4 linked regions of the Tamandua tetradactyla genome follow. The protein of the gene in region 1 interacts with the protein of each later gene in a pairwise test. Links are inferred from orthologs where the notes say so. Each region holds a gene or a part of one and is shown on either strand. Other genes may lie near its edges. The genes, in order: EXOSC8, OTUD4, EXOSC10 and MORN4.

Region 1 (6,870 bases):
TTTCGTAGCAGTTACAAATGCAACAAAGGATATCTAAATATAGACATGTAAAAAATAAATCATTACACTGACTATAACATTTGATATGTTATAGTAAGTACACTGTTTACTTAATTTTTTTTTGGGGGGGGGAAATACTTGTTTTCTGTTTTTAATCCATTAAAAAGGGTCTGGAACTAACTCCAAAATTGGAAGACAGTGAGTAAGTCTTATGAACTGATGACTGTCCTTTTCTCCCAGATAGCTGCTGGGGCACTAATGGTGCAGGAGGCTCTGTTTCTTCCCACCTACCACTACCCAAGCCTCTCAGGGCTTTGCCATCCCAGATCAAATAGGGAACAGTCACAACAGGAAGTCGAGTCAACTCTCAGGGGACCCAGTCCTATGTGTAGCACACAAATGGTGAGGATGATCCCTACTTGGGCCTGTATGTGACAGAGGACAAGTGCATTCAGCATGTGGAACATGTCAGGTGGGGCTGTCCTCTCACCCAGGATGGGATACACCCAATGTATAAAGCCAAGATCTCTTGGCCCCCACAGTATGGATTTGTAATGCTTTAGGATATAGTCCTGGTACTCATCCCAAATTTGAACTCAGAATACAGCATTTTCTTGAGTAAAGCATTAAATGTGTAGGTTCTCTGCACTACTAACATTATAGCTCCCTACCCTAGCAATATAGCTCCCTTCCATATGCACTTGGGAGTGACCTCTGGAAATAAACCACTCTGAGTAACATTGCTTCTATTGGTACACTTCTGCTTTCAAAACAACCACTATACCAATTCTTGAATGCTACTCATGTATAATTTGATGGTGTTTTATAATATCCCACTGGGTATGGACTGACACTGAATTTGCTTCTGATTAATGTGAGCATGAGGTAGCACCCAGATTAGGGTGAAGGGTCCTGCCCTGCACCCCTACTCCTGACTGTGGTTTCGAGATGCAACTTCCCACAAGGTGTTCCTAAAGAGAGGGTGACTTGGGTCTGTGCAGGAAATGCACCGTACTGGAAGAGCCTGTCATGGAAAACAAAGAAGTTGTTGGCAGTGACAAGGCCATGCCAGAAGTACAACTTGAAGGGGCTCTCGCTGGCATGGGATAGGAGGATTTGAACATCAAAAAGAAAGACTGTAATAGATCAAAACCAGTGAAAATTATTTAAAACCATGAGTCGATGATAACACTAAAAATAAAAATTGGTCACCTTCGTAAGATACCCAGGAACCATCTCATTATTTTAAAGCTATCTTTTATGTATGAACTATATATTTCATAGGAACTGAATGGTTGAGGAGAAAAAGGTTTTGGTTATAGAATTCAAGCTAATAAATGAAGAAGGAATGATACAATTAAGATATTCTACTTGGCAACCTTAATGAAATAACAGATTTAGATAATGTTCATCAATGATGGCTAAAACCATTAGCTGGATGACAAATTTTATAATTGGTGGATCAGGAGACAACCTTAACATTGATCAACCTTAACACCAGAGACAACCAGACATCGCCTGCCTCCTGATGTGCTACAGGAGGAAGTATTCACTATCATTCACATGCTTTTCTTGGTTAAAAAAATCAAACATGCAATTGAACAACTAGCTACCAATTCAGGGGACAGAAGAGGATGCTAAATGGCATCAAGAAAATGCAATGAGCAAAATCAAGATTGTGAGAAGTTCCACATGAGTAATAGTCACATTTATCAATAAAAACAGATTTTAAAAAATCAAAGAGGGGTGGGCAACAGTGACTCAGTGGCAGAGTTCTCACTGCCATGCTGGAGACCTGGGTTCGATTCCCAGAGTCTGCCCCTGCCAAAAAAAAAAAAAAAAAAAAATCAAAGAGAACAAGAAAACTATCTTAAAAGACTGAAGACTTGTCAATCAAGCAGAACAGTGGACCTCTTTTAAATGCTGACTGTAATTAATTACACCTAGACATACACAAGACAAGTGATGACATGGCAACTGACTGACATTTGAAATTACAGAATGATGGTTAATTTTTTTTTAACCTGTATAACACTGCTGTAGTCTCGTTTAGAGAAGACTACTGAGCATTTACAGATAAAACCTTATAGTGTCTGCGATATGTTGCAAAATAATTCAGAAGGGAAGAGGGTTGGGGAGGAAGCATATATATATATATATATATACATATATATATAAGGTGACTATATTTGAAAGATTAGCTTTTTGTTGCCTTTTTTAAAAAAAAGATGTTCTGCTCTGGCATTTAAAAGGACTAAGTTTCACTAGCTTTGGGACATTTGAACACATGACTTTATCTTTCCAGCCAGTAAAATGAAGCTAACCATAACATTTATGTCACAGTATTGCTTTAAGATTAAATGAGGTAATCCCTATTAAACAGTACAATACCAAACATATTGTAAGTTCTCAATAAATGATAGTTCTTATTATCAGCGCAGACAAATGGGGTCAAATATTCTCATACAACATCATAACGCACAGTTGAAATCTTTGCAAGGCAGTCTATGTAAGGCAGTTTCAACCCAGAACTGTGTCAAATTCTCTATCACCAAAAACGTGACTTGCTCAAATCGGTGAAAAACAAAAACAAAAAACAAAAACCACTACTACTGGAAAGAGAGGACTCCTTTCTTGCCCACAGGGCAGGAGCATAGTTTTTTTCTCTTTCCGAATAGTTTACACTTGGTGAGCTTTAAGTTTACCAATCCTCTGGGCAGAGCATAGAAGGGCCTGTAGACAGTGCTGCAAAAGCTGCTCACCCCAAAGTCAAGAAAGACACGATTCTCTCCGTTTGCCAACCAGATGGCACGCTCATCCAAGTTATACCGGAAAAATTCACGTGTCAACCTTTCTACCAATTATGGGTCAGTAAGGGCTTAAAATATTTGTGTGTTTCCACAGCAATGTCAAAAGAAATCGGGGTCTGGATTCCATCAAGGAGGCGGTAAAGTAGGGAGTCCAGACTCCGGGGACGCGACGCGGCCAGGTGCCCGAGCGCGCCTGGGGCAAGCGACCTGCGCCAGCCTCTGATAGGCGGCTCCCGCCACTGCCTCGTCACCACTCGCACTACTGTGCCTGGGGACGCAGCCCTGACCCGCAGGGCCCAAGCACAGCGGAAGCAGGCGTGAGGCGTCCCAGGACGCCGCGGCCGACAGCGCGGGTGAGCCGGGGGTCGGGGGCTTTGAGGTGGGCACTTGGAGAGCGGAATGGGGGTGCGCCCCGAAGCCCATTGAGACGGAGCCCTCAAGGGGGTAAAGACCCGAAGAACTGAGCGGCAGTTCTGGGACCAGGCTTGAGGTAGACCCGGAGAAGGGAAGGGACGCCGCGGGAGCCCGCGCCTCACCAGTATGAGCGCGACCACCGCCAGGGCCGCACCAAAAACCGCTAGCTGCAGCAAGAGCGGCGCCATGTTCCCAGCCCCGAGCGCCGCGCACGCGCGGAAGCGCCACCGCGCATCCTGCCCACGCCCATAGACGCCGCGCGTCCCGCTCGCCACAGCGCCACAGCGCCACCGCGCGGCGAGGAGGGCAAAGCACAAACCACTTGAGGGGAATGGCGGCGCTGAGGGTGACACTCAGATGGGCAGGAGGCGGGCGCTCCCCCAGGAAGGTGCCAGGTTTAGTAAAAACACTGAGGCCCACTTAGATTTAAGCTTCAGAGCAACAACAAATAACCTTTAAAAATATGTGTTTCCGTGCTGTATTTGAGACACGCACAGACTGAACATTTGTTGCTCTGAAACGCACTCACACGAACTTCCAAGTCTACCGCAGCCGGGCCCCTGGGGGGGGGGGCCCAAGTGCGGCGTGTCTGGGCCCGGGCGCGGGGCGAGGGGCAGTTCTTGGCAGAGGCGGTGCCGGTGTCTGCACATGCGCGCGGGCGGGAAGATGGCGACCCCAGCGCTTGCACATGCGCACGGGCGTGAGTGGCACGGGCGTGAGTGGCGCAGACAGCACTCGCACATGCGCGCGGGCGTGAAGATGGCGGCGGGCTTCAAGTGAGTGTGAGCTGCCGCGGGCGGTGTTATCTTCCCTGGTAGGTGCGGCGCTGTGTTCGGGTGGCCGCCTCCCTTAGCTTCCTAGCTGTGGTAGGTTTCCCTGCCTTGGAGCAGGCCTCGCCGCGAGCGTCTGTGGGCGTGGAGCTGACCGCGCAGCCCCGGCGCCGCGACCGGGGAGTTGGCCTTCTGAGGCCCGCGCCGCCCCTCTGCCGCTCCCCGAAAGGAGCCTGCCTCAGCTGGAAGGTTTTTCTAAAAAAAAAAAAAAAAAAAAAAAGCAGACAAAAAAACCGCGTTTGTGACCGTTCGTTGCGGCCTGTGGACTCCGGAGTAGTGTTTTTAAGTGGAGTAGGAGATAGGATTCCAGAAGAAACCAGTTATGCTGAACTGCAGTCATCTTGAGCATAAATTCGGGAAATTCGTGGTCTAGGGATAAATGCACTTTCTAGTAAACCAGCTTCGATGTTAGGATCTAGTCGATTTAAGGTACTCCTGGCATGTCAAGTCATGACGACTCTAAAGACACCTTCCGCGCCGAGGTAGTAAAAGCGCCGGTGTCTGCTTGCGGCGCGCCTGCTGCTGGCGCGCCCTGGTCGGTGCCTGTGGTGCGCGCTGATGCGAGGAGGAGAGTGTGATGAGGTCGTGCTCCCCAGGCAGAGAGTGACAATGGTCAGGTACAGGAGAGTGCCCTAAAGACGTGCTCCCCAGCCGTGAGTGACGGGTGTGTTACAGGAGCGATGAGGACGTGCTCCCCAGGCAGAGAGTGACAGAGGTCAGGTACCGGAGAGTGCAACAAGGACGTACTCTCCAGCTGAGCGTGATAGGTGGGTTACAGGAGAGTGCAACGAAGATATGCTTGCCAGGTTAGAGTGACTTTTTTTTCAACTTTTTTTTAATTGTATGGTATAACATATATACAAAGCAAAGAAAGAAAAAAGCAATAATTATCAGAGCACTCTTCGGTAAGTAGTTACAGGACAGATCCCACAGTTTGTCATGAGTTTCTGTACCATCCTCTTCAGAATGTAGGAGGCTAGAAGGAATAAATTTTTTTTTTTTACCATCACAAGCAACTTTTTTGTGTGAAAAATGACATACGTACAAAAGAATTTCAAAACGCAGCACCACAATTAGTTGTAGAACAGTTTTCAGAGTTTGGTATGGGTTTTAATTCCATAGTTTTAGGTTTTACTTCTAGCTGTTCTAAGATACTGGAGACTAAAATATCAGTTTAATGGTTCAGCAATCATATTTGAATGTTAAACCCTACCTTCTCTGTATAACTCCACTATCACCTTTGATCTTTCTGTCCCACTCTTTAGGGGCATTTGGGCTATGGCCATTCTAACTTTTTCATGTTGAAAGGGGCTGTCAGTAATATGGGGTAGGGAAATGGAACTATCTGATGTTCTGGAGAGACTGGGCTAGGTTTCAGGACTTACCTGGTCCAGGGACTGATCTGGAGGTTGTAGGTTTCTGGAAAGTTACCCTAGTGCATGGAACCCTTGTAGGATCTCATACAATGCCCTAGGTGTTCTTTAGGATTGGCTGGAATGTTTTTGGTTGGGGGTTGGCAGGTTACTGTAGGTAGCAATGTCTAATTGATGCTTGGGTAAGAGTAACCTCCAGAGTATCCTCTGGACTCTATTTGAACTCTCTCTGCCACTGATACTTTGTTACACTTCTTTTTCCCCTTTTGGTCAGGATGGAATTGTTGATCCTACAGTGCCAGGGCAGGACTCATCCCTGGGAGTCCTCTCCCATGTTGCCAGGGAGACGTTCACCCCTGAATGTCATGTCCCATGTAGGGGGGAAGGCAATGATCTCACTTGCAGAATTGGATTTAAAAAGACTGAGGCCACATCTGAGCAACAAAAGAGGTCCTCCGGAAGTAACCGTTAGGCATGCCTATAGGTAGTCTGGGTTTCTCTGTTACCTACATAAGCTTCACAGGAGTGAGCCTCAAAATCAAGAGCTTGGCCTATTGATTTGGGTGTCCCTAATGTTTGACACAGTATCAGGGTTTCCCTGATGGTAAAGTTTAATAGTTCCATATTTTATCTTCCATTCCTCAGGGGACTTTGCCAATACTTTTTGAATATCTTATTATACTCTAGGATGTACCCAGGCATTACATTAAACTGTACAGGATTAAAGTCCCTCATTCTTATTCTGGGCTGTGTTTCAGTTGTTCAAATGAGCCATCCAGACAGGTTGAGTTAGGTGATGACTACAGAAAATTTAGATTCCAGACAAGATAAACCTTTCTACCTTTGGTCTTAAAGAGTAGGTGCAGTTCTAAAATATAGACAATGTCTTCCTTACCCCTGTGTTCTGAATTATCTTAATCCTGACCTGATCAACTTCATTCTTATCTGTAAATATCAGGTTATAGATATATAAAACAGCCTTTCAAAATCCAGAAATAATAATTACCACTCCAGACTAAATGTGTCTGCTGTAAGAGCTTACAGTCTAGGACCCTGTTTTCTCCTAAGCATTTTCTGAAGGAGACCATACAATAATTGTTCCTTCATTTTGGCTTATTTTGCCCCCCCAAATGTCCCACAGGTTAATTCACATCGTTGTATGCCTCACGACTTCATTCCTTGTTGTAGCAGCACAATATTCGATCATATGTATACACCATCATCGTTCGCCAGTATACTCAGTCAGCGCATCATTCAGCCACCTGCATTTACTGGGCTTGTTGTATAGTGTCCAAAGTCCACAGTCCATCCACACTCTCAATTTTAGATGATTTCATTGTTCCCAAGAGAAAGAAAACCAATAAACACACCCTCACCAAATAGGAAATCTAAACCTTAACTTTTGTCCATTACCCCATTATTTACCTGTGCTATTGCTGTGGT
Region 2 (6,941 bases), on another chromosome or scaffold:
ACTCCAAAACTTAACAGCTTAAAACAACAAATGTTTATTATCTCAGACAACTTAGATCAAGAAGCTCAGAATCTCAGTCAAGAATCTCAGAACTGGAAGTTTCTGGCTCAAGATTTCTCATGTTGTTGCGGCTGAGATGACTGCCAGGCCTGCAGTCATCTGAAAGCTTGACTGGCCTGGAGAGTCTGATTTTAAGCTGACTCACGTGGATGTTGGCAAGAGGCTTCAGTTCCTTACCAAAGGAAACTCCCTAAGTCTGCTCACAGCACATAGAAGCTAGCTTCCCCCAGAGTGAGTGAACCAATAAAGTATTTGAGAGCAATCCAAATGCTGCAAATGTTTTTTTATGATGTCAGAAGTGACATGCTATCACTTTTGCTCTACTCAATTTGTGGACGGGGTAGGTTGGGGAGGGGTGGTGAATATCCAGAGGCAGGGATCATTGGAAAGTAACCATCTTTAGAGGCTGGTTACCTCAATACCTAATTTCCTATTAGGAAAATAAAAATCCAGAAAATCTGTTTTTTAATAAAAATTTAAACAATTCAGTCCAATGCAATCAGTCTCTAGTCCCAAAGTTCGTCAGAGGAAACAAACCGACTTGAGGTATTGATTGTGTACAAGAAGAGTTGGTTGACACGTTGACATAAGGTGAATTTGATTAATTTTACTTGGTTCTCAGGAATTACAGTCTTTTAGGTTTTATTTGATTAAAATGATAGCTGTTTAAAGAAGTTCTGAATTTTGGCAGGTCAGAAGTGGCTTCCTCCAAACGAACATTTTCAATCAGAGCTGGTCCCTTGATAAGTTTCAAATGTTAATGTTAACATATGACGGGCCTTTGAAAATAAGAGACTTTCTCTAAGTTTTGGTTCAGTTTAAAGTCCTAGGATCCTCTAATCTAGGTTGAACACTGAGCTATATTTGGGGATTTGGCATACAGAGGGTCTGTCTTGGATTAGGTCTCAAAATACCTAAAGGATTTCCTTAAACAGGCCCCTGGGTCAGAAAAACAGGTGCATGACTTCTAATTTTGGAACCAGAAGCAGCCAGTTTAGTGTGAGGCTGTTCTGCATTCATTCAGCAAGGGTGAGGACAATAAGTAATTTTTGGCACTACATCAACTCTAGGAAAGAGTAGAAATGGTTATTCCTTCAGATAACAAACCACAGTTTTATAAGATCGTATAGAATTGTGGTAAACTGATAAAGGCCTCTGTTTTCTTAGTATTTAGTAATTCATTTTAAAAATATTGAAAGCAAGCCCTAGTGCCAGACTCTACCAGAATAGTTACAATTTATTTAAATGATCATGTCTTCTTATATTGATAATATTTTTGTCTTTGGATTACATTTTTTGCAATGGAAAATAAAGTGTAGAATTAACGTGTTTGGTTTCCTTTTCTTTTTGAAGTATTTCTAGGGAGTTCTGGGGTTTTAGAAGTTATAACATTATTTTTTAAAAAGTCAGCACATTTGAATAGGATTAAAATATGGATAATCCATAAAATAAAAATATGCTTGAAGCACTGCCAGTTTCCCATGAATGTAACTTATAAAAGTGAGCAAATCTTTTTTATTTGAAAACTCTTTTTTAAAATTAAAGTAATGTAATCATGACATTTCAAATACAAAACAAGGGTTGATAAACTTCGAAATGTGAAATACCAGGAAATACAAGTTTCTATTATATTCTCAAGATATTCAGCATAAAATCTTAGCATGTTCTATACAGCTCGTTTCCTATAAATATATATTAAATATGAGATTAGCTTCAGAACTTATTGAAGGAATATTAAAATAAAAGCTTGGAAAGCCATGGTTTTCTTTAGTCATGGCAGAAAGTATGTTATTTATAAAATTAGTGAGATAGAATCTATTCATTTCTGGAATTCAGTATTAAAACTCTACAGTTCAGACATTACTTTGAATTCCTCTGTGGGTTTAAAAGGCAAGCCATGTTGTGAGTAGTGGCAATACTTGGCAATTTTAAGATAGTGTAATGAGTAGCATATGCAATGTAAATATACTCAAAGAAAGAAAAGCAACAGATTTGATCTGAAATTAGATTTTTCTGAAAGTGATTCCAAAGTGTTTCTATACTATCTGTAAAAAATTTAATATTGGGACAAAGAAATCCTTTCACGTAGGTCAGATTAACGTCTGTATTCTCTGAAAACAGCACAATTTGAAATAGACTCTTTAAATATTAAGAAATCAAAATTTAGAAGCTCCAAGGGAAATTTACGCACTACTACGTAAGTGCTTGTACCTAAAGAACTGGAAATACATTTCTAAGAGAGTTTTCATTTATGTTTTTCACTTATGTAACTTATGTTAGACACTCACCATTTAGCCTCCCTTGGCCCTATTTCAAAGTGCTTATTCTACTACCTGTCTAAACCTATAGAATCCCTCTACTTTCCCTTCTCCCTCCAAGGCTTCAAAGCTTGGAGCAGTTTCTACAATTAAACACATTTAAATAAGGACTCCAGACGCTGTTGTATTTTAGCAAAATAAATTTCTGGCGTCCAAAAAGTATGCTGGATAAATTCCGGGTTCTAAAGCCTCTGACTCTGCTTTGCCAATTTCCTCGTCATTCAACTTTGGAGGGTAGGAAATTGAGCTGGAAGCCTCAGCGCTCTTAAAACCCATGGCAAGTCTGGTACCTTATCAAGCAATTACAGGACTTTTTTTTTTTTTCTTAAGAAAGGATAAAATAATTTTAACTTTTTTCTGACCGCTGACTTAGTTGTCTGCGTGTTTGGGGGCACAGCTACAGTGAGGCGATGGACAAAACCGTCTGTGGCAAAGTCATCACCTCGCCGTAATGCGTGAGCAGTATTTCTAATTTCTAAAAGGAATCATCAGTCCACGGTTGATTTATGGAAAGCGTGTGTCGTGCCTCACGCCGCCAGTTCCAGGAGCCTTCGCCAATTAGCTCTATTTTCTGCTTAAGCCATTAAAGCCACCTCCATGGAAACGCCAGGAGGGTAGGCCGGGGGAGGGGAGCAAACAGGTGCGCTCTCTGGAAATACACAAAGGGCCGACATTGCCGCCGCAGTGTCCCTGGCAACTCCACGCACGCAGGATACGCGCACTTGCGCGGCACCGCGGAGCAGCCGGCAGCCGGTCAGCCCGGGCGGCGCGCGCAGGCGGCCGCGCATCGGCTCGCGGAGACCCTGGGCCTGCTCGCGGCCGCGGGGCCCGGGAAGCGGGAGGCGGCGCCGGCGCTGGCGCTGTAGGGACTTGTAGTCCGCGAGCCTCCCGGGCGCCTCCTCCGCGTAGGCCGGTCCGCGCGTCCTCACCCGCCGCTATCCGACTTCCTGCCGCTGCCAAAACTACACCTCCCGCCGACCTCTCCGCTGTCGGGCGGAAAGCGAAAACAAATTCTGGGCTGCGAGGGTGCAACCCTCCTTCGGGTGCCCCCACCCGCTCCCCGCCCCTCCGGCGTCCTCCCGCGAGGTGGGGAAACGAAAGGCCGCTTCTTTCTCTTTTGGTTTCCTCGGCTGCTTGCGTGGGGAACGCGTGAGGGACGCAGGCCTCGCTTCACCTCAGCCGGCCCGGCGCCCTCGCCCGTGCGGGGCTTTGCTCGCCTCACACCAGTCGGGACGAGGAAACTTGTGGAGGCGGTGACCCCCCGCGCCCTGTCCAGTTCCTGAGCCGGGCGGCGAGGCCACAGGGAAGTGACTCCTCACTCTCGGGTTTTTCTTTAATTTTTTTTCAACGTGCTCCGCCTGGGCGCGTGGTCCCTCCGGGCAGGCGGCCGCGTGCGAACAGCCATGCACTAGGCAGGGCTTCCCCTATGCGCCCGGAGAGCGCGGACCGGTGCCTCGGGCCACTGCCGCCTGCTGCCGCCGCCAGCGGAGCCCGAGCCGGAGCCGCCGTCTGCCCTAGGCCGGGGCGTCGAGGAGCCGGCGGCGCGGCCATGTGGGGCTAGCCCGCGCCACGCCTGGGCTGCAGGAGCACCGGCAACATGGAAGCGACCGTCGGCTTCCCCGACGGCGGGGACCAGGGCGGCGCGGGGCTCCGCGGGGACGCGACGCCCATGGATGCTTATCTGCGGAAACTGGGCTTGTATCGGAAACTGATCGCCAAGGACGGGTCGTGCCTTTTCCGGGCCGTGGCGGAACAGGTAATAATTTGGCGGGGGTCAAGGGGAGGCGGGTGCGGCCGCGGGCAGTTGTCGGGCCGCCGGGTGAGGCTGCGCGTGGCGCCGCTGTCGTCATAGCGGCCCATTGTAACGCCGGAACGGGTTGCTGCCTTAGGTCTTAGAGCTATAAACCGGAATGTAAAAGCCTGTGAGATGACTGGGTGTCGCCTCTCCTGTTGAAAAGGTAATGAATCGACGACAACTTATGAGGCCTGCTCTGAGCCATGTACAGTTTGTATGCTTTGCAGGCTTGGTGAACAGATAATTTTCTGTTTTGTTCCGCATTCATCTTCCCTTCGTTCTCTAAGCATAACGTTCACATCAGTAAACCAGATGTTTCCTGGAGGAGGTGGCGCATCAAACTTTCCTCGTGGAATATGTGTATTTTTGTTACCAGGCTTTGGAATGTGGGGTATTCAAGCCTTCCGATGTCATGTCACTCAATCAAGAGGGTAAAATTTGCAATTTGGGAAAGCGCACTTAAGAAAAACAGGGTTTTGAAAATTGTCTTTGAGTAAATTCCCCCTCTCACTACGTTCTGCAAGACAGTGTAAGTACACAAAAACGGAATTCTTTTTTTAAAAAAGAATTTACTGTTTTGGTGTTAGTAGTAGGCACGGCGTAAGTGGAGAGCCTCTAGGCCCTCCTTGACCAGATGTTTCCCTGTTAGTGGTCAAAATCACAAAATTGCTTAGGGCGGTGCTTCTGTTCCTTGAAAGGGCTTATTCCAGGCTGTATAATACATGTGTAGCTGTAGGTGTGCAGTCACCAAAATCTGGCTTTATTGAAAAAGAACTACTGAAGTAGTTGGGTAAAAGTTTTACATTACTGCTGTAGTCTGTATTTCACACCTTTCAGTTTGCTTAAAATCTGTGCCCTGTCCATGAGTTTTTTATGATCTTCTCACCTTTTTTTTGAATGCTAGTTAGCTTTCAGGGTTTTTGTTTATGAGTAAATATTTTACTTAATGAACACCTGGGGAGCAGTCCATCCTCTTTTTCTTTTAAACTTCACAGACCAGTCATCACTTTTCCAAAGATTGCTGTTTTCACTTCAGTGACATAAAATCTTTTCTTTAAACAAGCAATTGATTTAACAAGTATAAGCCATTTTCACTAGGTTACAGGTATTGTTTTTCAAACTTTCTTCCTAAAGTTCCCCAAACCAAGCTCCATCTTTTTCAATTCCATTAGGTTTTGCTTTTTAGAAAATGGAATGTTTGGTGTTCCTGTGGTGTACTCTCTCTTTCATACACATACGCGCATGCGCGTATTAATTTTCCGTCCCCTTTTCCTTCCTCTTCCTAAGACTCCCTGAACTCCTTAGAACCTCTAGAAGCTGGGGGAAGAAGTGGGAGTGATTTCAGCCCATATTTATACATACTGTTAGCTGTAGCAAGAGTCTTATAAGGAAGGAGGTAGAAACTAATTGAAATAAGAGAAGTTTGGAGTGTATTTGGAGTTGGATTATCCAGGCTGTCATTTATATTGAAACAGAAAGGTGTATCTGGTTTCACCATTACTTGCTATAAATATTTTGCAAACTTGATTATACAGAGGCGTGTAAATTATTGTAATGGGATCTCTAAAATTTTTTTTCTTAGTAGAAAGGGGCATCAGCTAGTTAGACTAAGGAATCATTGCTAACATCAGATAACACTGTTTTGGTGTATCTTACTGTACTAGGATTTACCTTAGATATAAGGAAATATCCTCCAATTATGTGAATGGTTTTTAGTACTGAGCTTGGAAAGCTCAACACTGTGAACTTGGGAGCACCCCACTTCTAAAGTAGACTTGGACTAAGGGTATAGCAATCATAGCCAAAGGCAAAGTGTATATGGGAAAAGGGAAATAACAGTGGCCTCAGGCTCCTCCTATAAAATGTGTACAAAGGGTTTTGTTTTTTTTGTCAACTATTTCTCCTATGAAGTCAATATAAATATCCCTCATTTCTAAGAAGGAGACAGAGTAAGTAATCTAAAGGCAGTCTTTAGAGAGATTGAGTTAGGAGGAGTCTTTCCCTCCACATTACCTGATTTAGATAGGGAAAGATAGGCCTTTCCCTTTTTGCACTTGTAGAATTCGGCCTGCAGGAGGCTTGACCTCAATCAGCTCCACAGTTATGGAACTAAAAATAGGCCACTCTTAAGAGGACTTGCTAAAGCAGTGTGCCTTAGCCTTTCCCAGTTTTTATCACTATATTGTTCTAAGATGGGAAAATCTCGTAGTTCTAGCTCATTTCATGCATATAATAATTTGCAAAGATAGGTATATGTCAAACCCTTTTAATTCTTCCTGAATTAAACTTGCACAATCATTTTTTTTAAGTTGTCATTTAACCTTGCTTCTCTTGCAGTGAAAAGAGTTTCTCTTGCTTTGTAAAGCTTTATAAAGCACCCGTGCCTCCACACTTTGTGGATGTTGCTGAGGATTGTGCTTCTGATTTCATATGCCAAAATCTTTCTTAGAAGAGAAAAAAATGAGATACACTTGCCTTTATTATTTTTTTTGTTGCCATTGTTTTTGATGGGAAATGAGCCCTTATGTCTGCCACCTGTTGCTAGGTAATGGTTTTAGGACTAGCTTCACTTTGGTAACAGCAGGAAAAGTCTTATCAGATAATACTGTGGTTGATTCATAATAATGTTTAACATAGCTACTGTGAAAGACATTTTGCTAAATTTCATTTGTTGAATTGGCTGTCTGATTGTATGGTGATTATTTCACATGTGAATAGTCTTTCCAGTGTTGGAATCTTAGTGCTTTTCTCTAGTGTTACAAGACAGT
Region 3 (7,863 bases), on another chromosome or scaffold:
AATAATTTAAATAATTAAAAACACCCCAGAAAGCATATATTAATTACAGAAGTATTTAGAATGAGGATGATGGTTGTCTTGATCTACTTTGTGCTATCAAAGCAGATGTGGACTATGAGTTTGGGCACCACAAATGAAAATGCACCAGATGATGGATCAGCAGTGACAGAACCTGAAATCACAAAATACAAAAAATAGCTGCAAGATCTGTGGACATTTAAACTATAGAAGATAGTTTTCATGGGACAGGAGAGCATAATTTCATATAGAAGATAGATTTCATGGGACAGGAGAGCATAATTTAAACATCTCCAGTATCATCCCATGGCTAAAGGTTAGATTTATTTTAGACAATCTCCGTGTATTTCTGTAAATAACATTCTGCTGTAGAATTGGGCATAAACAGATGGCAAGCTAGTCTGAATGATTAATATCTTCTTCCAATCCTGAGAGTCAAGGTAACGATAAGGTTTTCAATAACAAAGTAAAAATGATTAAATTTTTATTGGGTTGATAGAGAGGCTGCTTCTCTTGTAATACAAAGGTGGATTTTTAATCAGCACCTTAAAAGAGGCCTCTATGGGGCAGTAATAATTTGAAGTTATTCATACTTAGTTTTGTATAAAAAGAAACCACTGGTCAAAGGAAGGGAATGTTATTACCAGTAAGAAATTGTATATTTATTTCCTTATTTTCTAAGGTACTTGGATTGCTCTTTATTTTTAATCAGACAAAAACTCTTTGTTTGTTAGTTATCATAAGAATAAGAGAATACTCACCACTCTTTCCAGGATGACGTCATTAGCATCAACTAGGAGATCAAACTTATCCTCCAATTCAGTCACTTTGCTTCGATCCTTAATGCTGCTACGGCACCCATGGTACTGCATTACTCTGCTCATGCTGAGGGAGGGACACCCAGGTAAATGTGTGTACATTTATTTATTTGTTCACCATCTGGAAGAAAGCTCAAATGGCTTGGCTCAGGCTGTTCCCAATGCCTTTTCTTCAAATTAATAAAATCTGTACCGTTATGACAGTCTTCAAAGAAACAGCCAGTTGTGTGGCTTTGGGCAATTCCCTAAATTTAGCTAAGACTTACTTTCCTCATCTGTTAACCGAAGGGGCAGAAGAAATTTCTGATTTCTTTAAATTCCAAAAAAAGTATGATAGTATGTAAATAAATGTACATTACATTTACTTCATTCTTTTAACATGGCAAGTCTAAAGCAGTTTCTCCAACTCTTGTCATGCAAAGGGTAAACAAAATTAACGTTTGTACATTAACTGTCCTAATGTACTAGGTAGAAAGTTAATATGTGTGACTCTGCAAGTCATGGGACTAAGAAACCTGGATCTAAGTTTTCAAGGCCCATATTAATTCAGTTAAGCTCTGTTATGTATAAGTGCAAAAGTCAATACATTTTTTAAAAATTAAACTCAAAATTTACCAAATAACAATTTCCTAGTCCTCTTGGCTATTTTTTCACATTTTGTAGCACTTTATAAGCATGGAAGATTATGGTAAGGAAAAACAAATTTCAGGAAAAATCTACCTCTTTATTTTCATTTCTTTTATTAACTTGGGGAAAGAATGTATGGTACTTACCACTGAAGCAATCTGTCTCCCTGTGTTTCACAAAATGCCTGGAAGCCAGGAAAACTTCGGTAAAAATCATACTCATCACCAAACTGTGGTAGGCCCCCAGATGCCTTGGTAACTGCCACCACTGACCCAAGAGCAAACTGTCAAAAACCAGAAAAGAAGGCGTTTTAAACACAGATCCCCATCCACTTGGCAATCATGTCTTGAAGATCTACAACACATGGTACCTTATGTTAGATGCTAAAGATAGCCAATCTTCATCTCTCCAACAGATCTCCATTTAATACTGACTCTACTCTTTAGTCTACTAGGCCTTGAGGAGACAAGGCTGAACACAAAACCAAGGTTCGGACCATACATCTTGAAGAGTGGGGAGAGACAGAACAAATGGAAAATATGAAAAAAAATGAGACAGGAGGTGGAAAACGAGTCAACGTGGGGTATGTGGTGACTTGTGAGTGTGAACTCCACATGATCAAGACCTCAGTTAGTGGTCTGCGAGCTACTCAAGGCCAAACAAATAAAATTAATAAAAGTATCTACTACTAGTACATTAGATAATATGAATGGAATGGGGGGGTTAAGTAATATTAACTTCAAATTATGTTTCATGGCTGCATAAGAGGCATGCATGACGTGTTTAAACCTAGTTTTATTTTGCTCATCTTTAAGCTGCATTACACAAATAATTTAAATGGACCCTCTCTGTTCCTTCCAGGAGTTTCCAATCTATTCTGAGATATTGATAATTAGAAGAAAGACACTCGACGATAGCTGTATCTGGGCTTTGGGGATTACGTAGGGCTGGACGTCAGAAGAGGGAAGAAAGATCCCGCCGGTCGTGGGAAGGGGGGCCGCCGGGCAGACGTGGGAGGTGTAAAGCAGTCAAGTTCCCTCGGAGAGTTCGCCGGATGGTTCAGGCACGGGCGGGGGCGAGGTCGCCGAGGGCTGGAGACATCAGGGTGACGAGAGAGTTTTCCCCAAGGTGTGGAGAACGCTCTGCACAGTAAGGGCTGCAAGGCCTCAACTCGGGGAACGAGGGCTCTGGGAAATGGAGCGTCCCTCCGTTTCCTTGTCCGGGGCCCCATCTCCGGAGGAAGACACCCAAGAGACTCTGCCCAGCGAGGGGAGAGGCCCCTTGACCCGCCCTGGAGGCTCCGCTGCGGGACGCGCGCGTTGCCTGCCGCCTACAGGACCTGGGCCTGCTTCCGTCCGGCCTTGATCTGCTCCCGGTGCCTCCGAGGACTTACGAACTCACCTTCACGAAGCTGTCGGAGTCGGGGAAGCCGGGCAGCACCATCTCCTCGTCGGACTTGGTCGCGGTTGTCGCCGGCGGGGACCTAGGATCTCGGGGACTGGGAGGCGCCATGTTTGCGGACTTTACGGCGCTTCTCGCGAGAGTGTCACGCGCCAACGCGACGTGTACGCCGGACGCATGTGCAGAGGGGAGAGGGCCAGAGGGGTTTCAGTTGGGTGAATAACCCTGAACGCCCACCCCGAGAACTTAAAAATTTCCTTTAATTTCATATTGCATCCTCCTAACGATCCTCTGGTTTAGCGAGGGAATCGGCGGACCCAGTCATCTCCTGTGTAAAGCTAACACCTTCCAGGCCCTGGATCCATGCCCCTCTCCACTTAAGATCTTGGCCACAGTCATTATCCCCGCCATCTGGCATCGTCATCTCTCCCCTCGCTCCTGGTTCATTCCTAACAACACAGCCCTAAGCTGAAATCTCTCCCAACTAAGAAAGGGAAGACACCGAGCCCCCACCTTCCAGGCCCTGCCATATTTCTCTTACCTTTTTTGTAGGAAAACTTCTGGAAAGAGTTTTACGCTACCGCTGTACTTCCTAGCCTGCAAACGTGCTTTTGAACCGTTTCGATTAGACATTCTTCTCGTGCATCCCACTGGAACCTGTCTTGTTAAGGCATACGATGCAACTCAGCAAAGACTTGTTATGAGGCAGGCACCGCTTTGCTAGGTAGCTGGGGAATGGGGGAAAATGGATTCCCGGAAGCCCTGTGGAGTGAATTGCGTCTATGTGCACAGAGCAGAGGTGGTGTACCCTTAATAGATCTCATTTGACTCAGTCAGTGTTCAATAAATGTTAGCAATTATGGTAATTCAGGATATCCTATCAATAGGACACTTGTTTTTCACTTTTTCTTTCCTAGTTGTGTACTTCAGGTACACAAGCACCCTGAAAGAAGAAATGCTTAGTTCATTTTAATGACTGATATTTTTGAACACTTATTTCATAACACAACATTCAGGCTGTGTGCTAAATGCTCCACATGGATTATCTCATCCTCACCCAAACCTTAAGAGGTAGAGGTAGTATTAACCAGGTTTTCAGATGAGGAAACAGCACTGGTTCAAAGTCACACAGTATGAAGTGGAGTTGAGATTTGAAACTAAATAATTCGATGCTGCAGCCTTGACTCTTGAAAACTACTTTATAGTAGTTTTTATTTTAATTTTTATTGACAAAACAACACAACATACAAACATGAACATTTTTAACCTGTGAATATTCCATTCTTGGTGTATAATCAATGACTCACAATATCATCACGTATTTGTGTATCACCATGATCATTTCTAAGATTTCTTAGAACATCTGCATCACTCCAGAAGAAATAAAAAGAAAAAATAAAAAACTCATACATACCAGACCTTTTACCCGCCTCTCATTGGCCTCTAGTATTTCCATCTACACAATATATTTTAACCTTTGTTCCCATTTTTTTCTATACCCCTTACCACTACCTTTCATTGATCACTAGTATTTCAATCTATTGATAGTAGTTTTAACCCTAGGAACGGAAGGATCTGGAAAGTCATTCTTTGCACACCCCTTTCTTCACACAGGGTTACACAAAACCATTCAGGATTGATGGGTTAATTAGACTGTCTTTAAAGACCTCCAGTAGCTCTTCACCTGTCTCTGATAATTCACTTCAAAACCAGAAGGTTTTGCTTAGAAATCACTTAAAACCCATTGGATTCACCAAAGATCTTAATCCCAATGACTCTCAAACCCTGAGTATGTCTCTACCACTCATGGCCACCATTTTCCTGAGTTCACCCATCCCCATACCCTTTAATTTTCGTAAAAGGTAACATCACTGTAGTCATTGCTAGTTACTTCATCTCAAACCGAGGAGGTCAGAACAAATCAGACTTGGTTTAGGACTCTTCTAGAAAATTTCAAAAAAGAATGAGACTTCCTCACTGTGAATATTGAAAACGTTATTAGTATCACTATTGAAATTTGAATGTATCTTTGTCTTTAAAAGAAAAGTCCTCCAACAAATTGTCTAGGGCTAGGTTTTCTCTCAGATTTTGTGGGTGCAATGACACCTATGATGTGGTTCCTGACCTTGTGATTCTCAGGCTCCCCATAATACAAGTTCCTTGAACAATTTTTATACAAAACAGTGTTTCTCACTGAGTAGTTGTGGACAACAGAAATTTAGAGAAAAAATTTCACTTAAACAATGTCATGGTTAGGGAAAGGTATCAACTTGGCCAAGTTGTGGTACCTGTTCATCTGATTGGGCAAGCGCTGGCCTGTCTGTTGCAATGAGGACATTTCATAGGATTAGGTCATGATCACGTCAGCTACATCCACAGCTGATTCCATTTGTAATCAGCCAAAGTGGAGTGTCTTCTGCAATTAGTGATGCTAAATCCAATCATGGGAAGCCTTTTAAGGAGGACTCAGAGGAGACAGGTTGCATTCCTGCTTTGGCTGGTGAGCCTCTCCTGTGGAGTTCATCCAGGCCATCCATTGGGGTCATCGGCTTCGCAGCCTGCCCTGTGGATTTTGGACTCTGTGTTCCTATGGTCACGTGAGACACTTTCATAAATTTTATATTTGCAAGTGTTCCCTGTTGGTTCTGTTTCTCTAGAGAACCCTAACTAATACAAACAACTAAAAAATAAATTTCTTGGAAGAACTTCTCTTTAGGTATGCTCTTCAGAGGGAATCTATAAGTAATTACCTGATCCATTTAATGTTCTCTCCTCCCCAGCATTGCAACACCCTCTTTACTGGGCCTTCTGGCTTCTAATTTTCTTTACATCCATTTGTCACTACTTGCCTTTTTCAAAATACTATTAGGATTCTCTTCCTGTTTTAAAAATTTATACGGGGGTGGAGTGCAAGGGTATTTCAGTGGTAGAATTCTTGCTTGCCATGCAGGAGACCTGGGTTCGATTCCCGGCCCGTGTACTTCCCAAAGCAACAAAGAGAAAAAACAAACAAAAAATTCATCAAATAATGCTACAATCATGGGCTATTCACATGGAAAAAGAATGAAATGTGATCCCTGCCATATAGTACACACACAAAATCAGCTAGTTCCCTGTTGTTGACAGCTTCAAGCCCAAACTCCTTGTCATTGAGTTTTTCTCCACTGACCCCTGAAGCCACACCTGCTGAACTATGAGGACCAACCATATGAAATTGCCATTTTTGTATATAAAAACTGGTTGAATACCTGCAGATTCATATGGTTTAAGCTAATACTTGCCATTCCTGCACAATATTGTGCATTCATGGCTTGATGACTTGCGCTTTCTTTTCTATTGAGGAAAGCTCTCACTCATTCTTCCAGACCATCCATGAGACTTTCCTGGCTAACCCGGTGGAGTGAGTGAGCCCTCCGTGGCTCACACTCTGTTCACGGCTCTTCTCACCACTTAGCTAGCAGTGGAGTTATCCATTTATTTCCTGTTAGGCCGTCTCCACCTTCTCTGGCCTGTAGACATGCTGAGCAAAGGGACCACGTCATGTATACCCATGTCATTTGTTATCCTTGTACTAAGTGCTTAATGAATGCTGAATGTGAAGGAATAAATGCTTTTTTTTTTTTGAACTCTCTATTAGGAATAAAAAGCTACCCATATGTGTGTTTTAAAATTCTGATGTAATTTATTGGCACAAAAAGTATCAGATACATGGTGTCTAGACATGGCTATACTTTATACTTTGTGCATTTAGTTTAATATTTATTTTGTTCATAATTCCCAACCTGTACTAGACCTTCCCTCTGTGTTCAGCACCTCCATGACAGTATTTCTGTTTTTCAAGCCTTTGCTCTAAACAGAGTATACAGAACTCACTGAAAACATCCAAGATCCAGGCCAAGGAAGGCGGATTTGGGTCACCCCATTGCACCATGATCCCCACCCTGCGTTTGCTTGGCAGAACTGTCTAGCAATAGCAATAAAGTCCCCTCTTAGCAGCTCAGGTCTTGGTTTGAAGTGTGTAATTTGCGGCGTCACTGGGTCAAGCAGAAGACAGACCCTTTTCACCCATTTTGGCCCATTTTGCAAATGCTGTTGATGATGTTGTGGTTGTTGTTGTCCACGGACCAGTGAAATCATGGGATGGGAGGAAGTGATGAAGTCTGCTCCTCTTGATTTGTTATAGTCCAGAATCCTCCTATGTTTCCTCCATGACCTAAAGCTTCCTGACAGCACTAAGTCTGCTGTATTGGGTTGAGAGGAATGAGTAGGCCATTTTTCTACCAGTAAATGCATATGATGAGTTCTCTTGTGAGTTAAGTCAAAACCCGTATTTCTAAAATTATGGATCTTCTGTTCCCCAAAATCAATGGCTTGATTTATGTGGCAACACTGTTTTACAATCCTGGGAACGAAATCAAGCCTTGTGTTTCCGACAATATATTCTTCAACAGCAGCTAGAAAGTTGGTTCAAACCAACTCTTAATATACAGTAGTTATTTTTTCATTTACATTTCAAAATATTTAATAAAGTCAAACTTTTTGACCATAGTTTCAGTTTAGTGGAAGCATACATATACCAAAGTACAAAAGCCTCACAAGAAACACTGTGGGCGTGTCTGGGCCTCCAGTTACCAGAAAGGACACCTAGGAAGACAGACAGAAAAAGGAATATTTTAATCATAAGAGCTTCTTCAAAGCTTTACACAGATACAAGGAAAACAAAAAGATCAAGGTCTGATAATCCTCAGGACACTCCCTGAGATTTCCCACAACTAACTGTGTGAGGCATACTCATCGCTTCCAGGCCAGTGCTGATGCCTACTGAGGTCCCAGGGGACACGTCCCCTTTACCCTCTCTTCAAGCATGCCTCGGGCAAGTAATCAAAGCGGAGCCCCGAGTGGTCCTTGAGGTTACAATCCCAGATCATAAATTTGTCTTTTCGTCTCCTTCTATCACTGCTCTGGCTTCTTTTCCATTACCCTTCCTGTATCGGAACTG
Region 4 (7,162 bases), on another chromosome or scaffold:
ATTTGACAGACTGATTAGTATGTGCCTTTGGGAAGGTCTATTTGGATTTATTCTATTTGGAATTCATTGGGCTTCTCTGATTTGCATAATTATGTTCTTTATAAGGAAGGGTTGAGAAGTTTTTCCTCAGTATATCCTCAACTAACCTTCCTAGCCCTTTAGTCTTCTCTTCTTCTTCTGAGACACCAATGATTCTTCTATTTGTGTGGTTTGTTTTGTTCAATCACTGCCCTGAGATCCAATTCATTTTTTCCATCATTTTTGCCACTTGATCTTTTATGTGTTCAAAATCAATTGTCCTGTCCTCTAGTTCACTTATTCTTTCTTCTGCTTCTTCAACTCTGCTGTTGTTTGTTTCTAGTATATTTTTGATGTGGTCTACAACATCTTTAATCTCTGTGATATCTGCTATTTTTCTCTTTATTCTTTCAAATTCCTCTTTATGCTCTTCTAGTGTCTTTTTGACCTTCTTTATGTCATTAGCCATCCCATTAATTTTATTTAGTAGAGCTATATGAACATCTTTGAGTAGTTGTTCCAAAGTCTGTGTCTCCTTTGGTGTTTTAATTTGGTCATTAGGTTGGGCTGTATGTCTGCATCTTGATATGTTTAGTGATCTTCTGTTGCCTTCGAGGCATGTCAATATCTTAATAAGTGACTTTGGAAGTTGATTTCCTTTGGTAGTCTAAAGCTTTGTATTTGTGGGATGTATGCGGAGCAGGATGCAGGGATGTGGTGAGGGCACAACAGCGCTGTGATGGGTTGCAGCTCAGTATAGGCCCAGGTTGGGGACTGGTGCCTGTGAGCATTGGGTGCTGGGCAGGGGTTTGGGTAGTGGGGTGCAGGGGCCTTGGGAATGGGGTGCAGCTCAGGTAGACCTTGGAGCGCAGGGGCAGGATGTGGTGCGGGAGACACAGGGGTGGGGTGTGGCAGGAGACAGATTGGGGGTGCTGTGCAGATGCACTGGGGCTGGTGCACAAACAGGATGTGGGTGGGGATGTGGAGGCCGGGATCCTGAGTATCAGGATGTAGGGTAGGTGGCACAGAGGTCATTGTTCAGGGAGAGGGGTCCAGGGGGGCCGGGATGCAGATTTGGAGTGTGTAGGGGCGGGGCACAGATCGCTGGGGTTGCAGGTCGTGGATCAGCAGCCGGTGATATCGTGGACTGGGCCCTGGGGCCGGAGCGCAGATGTGGCGGTTGGAGCAGGGGTGCACTGAAATCTCCTTTTCACTTTCTCTTTCCTAGGCTAAATGCTGACAATTTTTCCTCCTCCCCTTTTAACAAAAAGTTTTTAAAAATCCCTGCTCTCGTGCCACTTAGTCCACTTGGTCTGATTTCTCCATGCTTATTTGTTAACTGAAGAAAGATACCGTTCCAGAGACGGTAAACGTAAGGTCAGAGGCCGCTACTGTTTTATTCACCCCTGTAACCTCAGTGTCTGCAGACAGTAGGTGCTCAGTGAAAGAAAGGAAGGAGGATACAGGCCGTGACCTCAAGCTAAGGCCACAGCCTCTGGGGCAGTTGGAGAAACAGAATCAACATTTTTTTTCTATTATAAGAGTTCACCCATTGGGGGCTGCAGCCAGAGAGTCAGCGAAGGCCTTAAGTGGGGCATGTGCTATTCACTGAATCTTGAAAGAAGAATGTAATTAAATCACTGGAAAAGATTGAGGAAAGAGGGCACACCAAGCATGAGTGAGTAACCCGAGGATCAAAAGAGGAAGGTTAAAGGATATAGAGAAGAGAGTAACCTGCTTGATTCAAGGGGAAACAAGGCTGGGCTGGATTACCAAGGGCCTGGAAAGCCATGAAGAGAAGGCATCTGTTAGGTGAACAGCTGCGGAGAGCTTTAGAGAACAGTTCTTCACCAGGCAAGTGATCTGGGGTGGACCAACTCCAGACCCAGGCACCAATAAGTAACTCTGGAATAAGTAAGGGTGGCATCTTTGAAGACGGATGCATAGTTGGAGTAATTGCTTGTTTAAATCCATGGACTATTGTTATGGTTAAAATTTATACTAACATTACCTCCTAAAGTTTAGAATGTAATGGCTATGAGCATGGGCTTGGAAATCAGACAAATCCTAGCTCTACACTGACTACTTTGGACAAGTTACTTAACTGCTCTAAGCCTCAGTTTTATCCTCTAAAAAAAAAAAAAGGAGTGATATTGCTACCTCACTTGTTTAAAAAGGATCAAGATAATATATGAAAAGCAGATAGCATAGTTCTTGGTACATAAAAAACACCAAAAAAAAAAAAAAAGAGTAGCATTTTTCACTGCTGAAGTTATTGTTGATATCATTTTGTTTTATGCTTAAAGTAACCAGTAGACTAGAGGTATGGGTTTTCACAGAAGACAACTAGCTATGCAGTCACCAATACTTCATAACCATTCTTTCTTGAATCAAAGTATTGCTACAGCTCACTAGAAGTTGGAAAACTGTTATTTATTTGTACATATGATAATATTTTAAACCTTTTTTTGCCAAATAAGCCATTCTAGGCAAAGGTCCATACAAGGGATTCCATTTCCCTTTTCAATTACAAGACATAATACTTTCATTTCCTACCCAGATATCAAATAATCAAGAGATGTCTGTTTCTTGTGTCCCAGGGTCCAAAGTCACATTGATGCTTTCTTGGTATCTTTCATATTATTTAGCCCCTGAGCTTCAAATTATGGTCAAGGAAAAGTTCCAACATTTAGGGTTCTCCCTTGAATTCTAAGGTTTTTCTCACTAGAAAACCCTGAGAATTTTTATCTGCATCTATACTTTAGAATTTGATTTTCCTTTTACTAAAAAGAATGAAAATACATTCCCGATTACATATGCAGAGCTAGTACTTACTGAATGGTGTGCATGTGCCAGACATGTTCTATGTGCATGATAGATTAACTCATTTAACCACCATAAGAGCCCCTGTGATGTTGAAAATTGATACCTCAAGAGGTAAAGCAACTTGCCTGTGGTGACACAATTGATAAATGGCTGGACCCAAATTCAGGTCAGACTGAATCCAAGAATTTAACACTGTAGTTGCTTCTTTATTAAACATCACTATGAAATGTCTTGTATTCACTCCCTTTCTTTCCCTCTTCACTGATGCCATATTAGTTTTGACATCTCAGGATGCCATAACTACATTACTTCAATAGCTTCCGAGTTTGCTTCTCTGCCTCCAGTCTCTTTCTCTCTGATCATCTCTGGGTATCACCTCCATAGTAATTTTTTTAAAACACCAGTTTCATTATGTCATTCCTCTGATCAAAATATATATTTTAGAAACCATGTCTTCTCCCTAATTTTCAGATGCCTCCATAATTTGGCCTCACTCAACTTACTTACCCTTATGTCCTCATATTTTCTAATGTACATTCTCCAATCTAATAAGATCCATTTCCTTGACAGTACTCTCAACTACTGCAATTATATTTAAGATCAATACCACACAATTTAGCAAGCTTAACGATTGAGTGTTAAAGCTGGATTGAAGTTTATAAATCTGCTAATCCAATCTAATTTTACAGGCTGCAAAGCTTAATAACTTGCTTGAAATCACACACAGTTGGTAGCAGAGCTGGGATTTGAACACAGTATCCAAAATCTTTTTTTTTAAGTTTTTAATCTACTATTTATTGAATATTGGCTGTCTCAGACATAGTACTGAGCATTTTACATTGCATTTTCATACTAGTCCTAGAGAGCCTTTATTGTAATTAGTATCAATTTCCGTTCTACAGATGAAGAAATCTCAATTTAGAAAAGCAGTTTGCCTACTCCTTTCATGTGCTTGACTTCTCTTAATTATTAAATGCAGTCTTTGATTTTTCCATGTGCAGGAGTCTTTTCTTCTACATATTCAGGCAGTAAATCCATGAGCACGGCGATCATGTCTCTTCTAGTCTGACAGAACCTAACACCTTGCTGTACTCATACCTTCAGTAAATAAATATGTAGATTAAGGGATTGATGTGTATGATATTGGAGAGGGTTTGTTCCAGTCTTGGCATACAAATGGTCTGGGTAATAACAGTGACAACAAAAATCCCTATAACAAATGCAAAGGTGTTCTTATATCACAATGCCTGGTATAGGGTTGAGACCCGTTAAACAGCAGTTATCCTACCCAGTGCTTTACAATTTACAAAGCTGCACTTCTAAAACCCGATATAGGTTCTGTCTTTAAACTCCCGGGCCAGACCTTTTAGGATCGGAGCCACATGAGTTGGTGTTCACTGTTGCTACTGACCCAGATTTTGTTTTGTTTGGGGTTAACATCTCGGCTAGGCTGTCCGTGGATAGACGTGAACTGGATACCTGGGTCACGGCGGCGCATCCGCGTGTTCAGCCCCACCCCTCATTCATATAGTTGGCCCAGACTCTCGGAACACTCCGCCCCGCACAAAGATGGCGCAGAAGCCGGCTGGCCCAATGGAGAGTGGCGTTGCTCCTGGTTGCCTAGGTAACAGCCAATGGGAAGCGGGAATTGTGCCCAGTGCGGCTGCCTGGGATGGCGGCGTCAAGTAGGGAAGGGGGTGGTAGAGGTTGTGGAAACCAAGGTGTTTGGGCAGAACCCGGCGGAGCTAAGGTCCCGGCCGCTGAAGCCCGGAGCCGGGGCCTGATAGTCGTCCCGAAAGGTGGGGCCCAAGTGGGCTGGCAGCGCGGGTGGGAAGGGACCGGGAGGATGGGCTTAGGTGGTCCGAGCAGGAAAGGAAGAGTCTGGGGAGCGGGGCTCCATCCCGTTCGCGCTCTGGAGGCCGGCTGCGCGTGGGGGTCCCAAATCCGGACCTCCCTCCTCGACTGCTGGGGCCGAGGCCCTGGAGCGCCCACGGCACCCAGGTGAGCTAGCGGGGAGTGTGAGGGCGTTGTCGAGAAGGAGTGGCAGACCTGTGAGAGCAGAGGGCCCGGCCGGGATGGGAGAGCAGAGATGGGGAAAAGGAGTGGGGCTCGAATGCAAAAAAATGGTGGAAGAAGGAATGGGGAGGTCGACAAGGAAGTGCCGTCACGTTAAGTCTAAGGCTTTGTCTGCGCCACTGCCCGCCTCTGTCACACCTGGGTGGAGAGACATCCCTCCTGTGGAGGAATGAGATACCGGAATGCCTCAGTTAGTTGATGGGTGGTCTCCCGGCAGTCTAGCATCTCCAGACTGCTTGGGGACCAGCGGGAGTAATTCTTTTATTAGAACGGTCTCCTCTCCCAAAAATTAGAATAGTATTTTGGGAGTGTTACTCATTCTCCAGTTCCCTCCCTCCTCGCTTCTCTCCCTCTCCCTCTTCCCCTCTCCCCTTCAGTCTTTTTTTTTTTTTTTTTCCTGGTGCCAGGATTTTCTTCGCACTTTCTTCAGTCTAACCGGCCCACAGTTTTCCTGAATAAGATCTTTAAATAGTAATGATACATTCGTTTACATTTCAAATGGGGGAAGGGGGAGTTACACTTATAATAAAGTTAATTCAAGCTTATTTAAAAACATTTGAAAAGGAACATTTGAGTCTTTGTTCTAGGTTCCTTAGAAGCATAATACTTACTCATCAAAGCCTTCATGTTCTTCTCTTTAGGATTCTCAAAACTCAAGAATTGCTCTCTTTCATAACTGAAAGGGGAACTTTGACCAGACAGTCCTAAGTTGTGTGGGGAGGGTGGCGTTAGAGGGACAGTATGTACGCATGTGTGAATAGTTAAGGTGGGACTGCTTCCGAACAATATTCTTTGACTGAAAGTCTGTTCCCCTTTAAGGTGTTTGTTTTTTAATTCTCTCAGTTTGGATATAGGTTACTGTGAGGGCATACATTTTGTTTAAGTTTTATTTCTAAAAAAATTTTTTAAAAGACACAAATAGAAGGGAAACGGAAGTTCTCTTTATTGTCTCAGAGTCCTACTTGTAAATGTATGGGGCAGGAGAAAATGAAGCTAGCAGGGATGTAGTCTGTGGTGCGGACTAATAGTGTATTGTTACTGGTTTATAAAGAAAAAATAGTAATTTTCTTTTAGGTAAATGTTTGGACTGATGCTTTGCAGCCCATCATGGAGGGCAGAAGGGGTGGGTGTCTATTTAGAAGTGCTGAATCATCTTGGCTTTGTAACTAGATTCCATTTGTATATTTGCAGCCTAAATCTCTAGGCCATCTACTCTCTTTAAAAAGATTATTTGATGGGTGCACGGGTGGTTCAGTAGTAGACTCACCTTTCATGCACAAGACCCGTGTTTGATTCCCAGACCATGCACCGCCTCCCCCCGCCAAAAAAAAATGTTTATTTGAATAACTGATACAAATACTGATTTGCATCCCTTGCTGAAGTATTGATTTTTCAGTCTCCAACAACTGGCTATATTTTATTAAATTTGATTTGTCTCAATGACCGTGGTTATTGGTGAAATTCCTTTTTGTGTCAGTGCTTGTGCAGCTCACTATTAATTAGCATGATCAATTACAGAAGTCATAAATGAAAATCTCGATACTGTCCCAGGCAGTGACAATATCAACTATTTGGACAGATGTAGTAGTTTCTAGCAAATGTGTCCAACTGAGGCCCAAAGCCCTTGGATCCTATACATGTTCCTTTAATTAGCACTTCTGATTGTTTTGGGGGAATGGACATCATTTGGACAAGCAGGTGCTGAGGGGAATTTACTATAACTTCCTAGATCAAAAAAGAATGGAAGTTTGAAGTATGGATTCTTGAAAACAAACAGGAGAGGACATTGTCAGGGTTAGGTTGAAAGATGGTATTCCAGTTACTATTGCTACATAAAAAATTACCCTAAAAGTTAGCAGTTTAAAACAGTTATTTTATGATGTTCATGGATTCTTTGGGTCAGGAGTTCAGACAAGGCACCGCACCGTGAGTGTGCCCTCTCTACTCCACTAACATCTGGGCCCTCAGCTGGGAAGACTGAATTTAAGGTTGCTGTAATCATCTGAATGCTCCTTCACTCACAGCTGGCACCTGGACTGGGATTCTGCCAGTTGGAGAATTGCCAGTTGGAGCACAGACAGGTGGTTTTTCTATGTAGATTAGCTTCCTCACAGCTTAGAGGCCTCAGACTTCTTATTTGGTGACTCAGGTCTCTAAGCAGGTGTGTACCTGTGAGCAGGATGAAAGTTGCATCACTTTTTATGATGTAACCTCAGAGCACACCCTTACTTCCCCTGTTCTA

The links.
Region 2: the proteins of EXOSC8 (region 1) and OTUD4 interact in binary tests that used the Homo sapiens proteins (3 or more experiments, as listed by UniProt). The two-hybrid records come from large-scale screens. The link is inferred for Tamandua tetradactyla from reciprocal best matches to the Homo sapiens genes EXOSC8 and OTUD4.
Region 3: the proteins of EXOSC8 (region 1) and EXOSC10 interact in binary tests that used the Homo sapiens proteins (3 or more experiments, as listed by UniProt). The link is inferred for Tamandua tetradactyla from reciprocal best matches to the Homo sapiens genes EXOSC8 and EXOSC10.
Region 4: the proteins of EXOSC8 (region 1) and MORN4 interact in binary tests that used the Homo sapiens proteins (3 or more experiments, as listed by UniProt). The two-hybrid records come from large-scale screens. The link is inferred for Tamandua tetradactyla from reciprocal best matches to the Homo sapiens genes EXOSC8 and MORN4.

The regions. Positions count from the first base shown.
Region 1 is NC_135330.1:102,572,550-102,579,419, reverse strand, and holds the start of EXOSC8 (exosome complex component RRP43), read left to right. Parts: upstream 1-3,863; 5' UTR 3,864-3,872; coding exon 3,873-4,000; intron 4,001-4,512; exon of another isoform or gene 4,513-4,849; coding exon of another isoform or gene 4,850-4,860; intron 4,861-6,870. Other genes in the region: ALG5 (dolichyl-phosphate beta-glucosyltransferase), read right to left, coding at 1-33, 3,347-3,412. UniProt on the Homo sapiens protein: Non-catalytic component of the RNA exosome complex which has 3'->5' exoribonuclease activity and participates in a multitude of cellular RNA processing and degradation events.
Region 2 is NC_135348.1:22,905,163-22,912,103, forward strand, and holds the start of OTUD4 (OTU domain-containing protein 4), read left to right. Parts: upstream 1-3,941; 5' UTR 3,942-3,975; coding exon 3,976-4,134; intron 4,135-4,208; exon of another isoform or gene 4,209-4,336; intron 4,337-6,941.
Region 3 is NC_135328.1:214,318,017-214,325,879, reverse strand, and holds the start of EXOSC10 (exosome complex component 10), read right to left. Parts: upstream 3,024-7,863; 5' UTR 2,976-3,023; coding exon 2,865-2,975; intron 1,747-2,864; coding exon 1,610-1,746; intron 904-1,609; coding exon 780-903; intron 1-779. Other genes in the region: serine/threonine-protein kinase mTOR, read right to left, coding at 7,493-7,508. UniProt on the Homo sapiens protein: Catalytic component of the RNA exosome complex which has 3'->5' exoribonuclease activity and participates in a multitude of cellular RNA processing and degradation events.
Region 4 is NC_135339.1:58,901,609-58,908,770, reverse strand, and holds the start of MORN4 (MORN repeat-containing protein 4), read left to right. Parts: upstream 1-4,156; 5' UTR 4,157-4,413; coding exon of another isoform or gene 4,414-4,468; intron 4,469-4,489; exon of another isoform or gene 4,490-4,845; intron 4,846-7,162. UniProt on the Homo sapiens protein: Plays a role in promoting axonal degeneration following neuronal injury by toxic insult or trauma.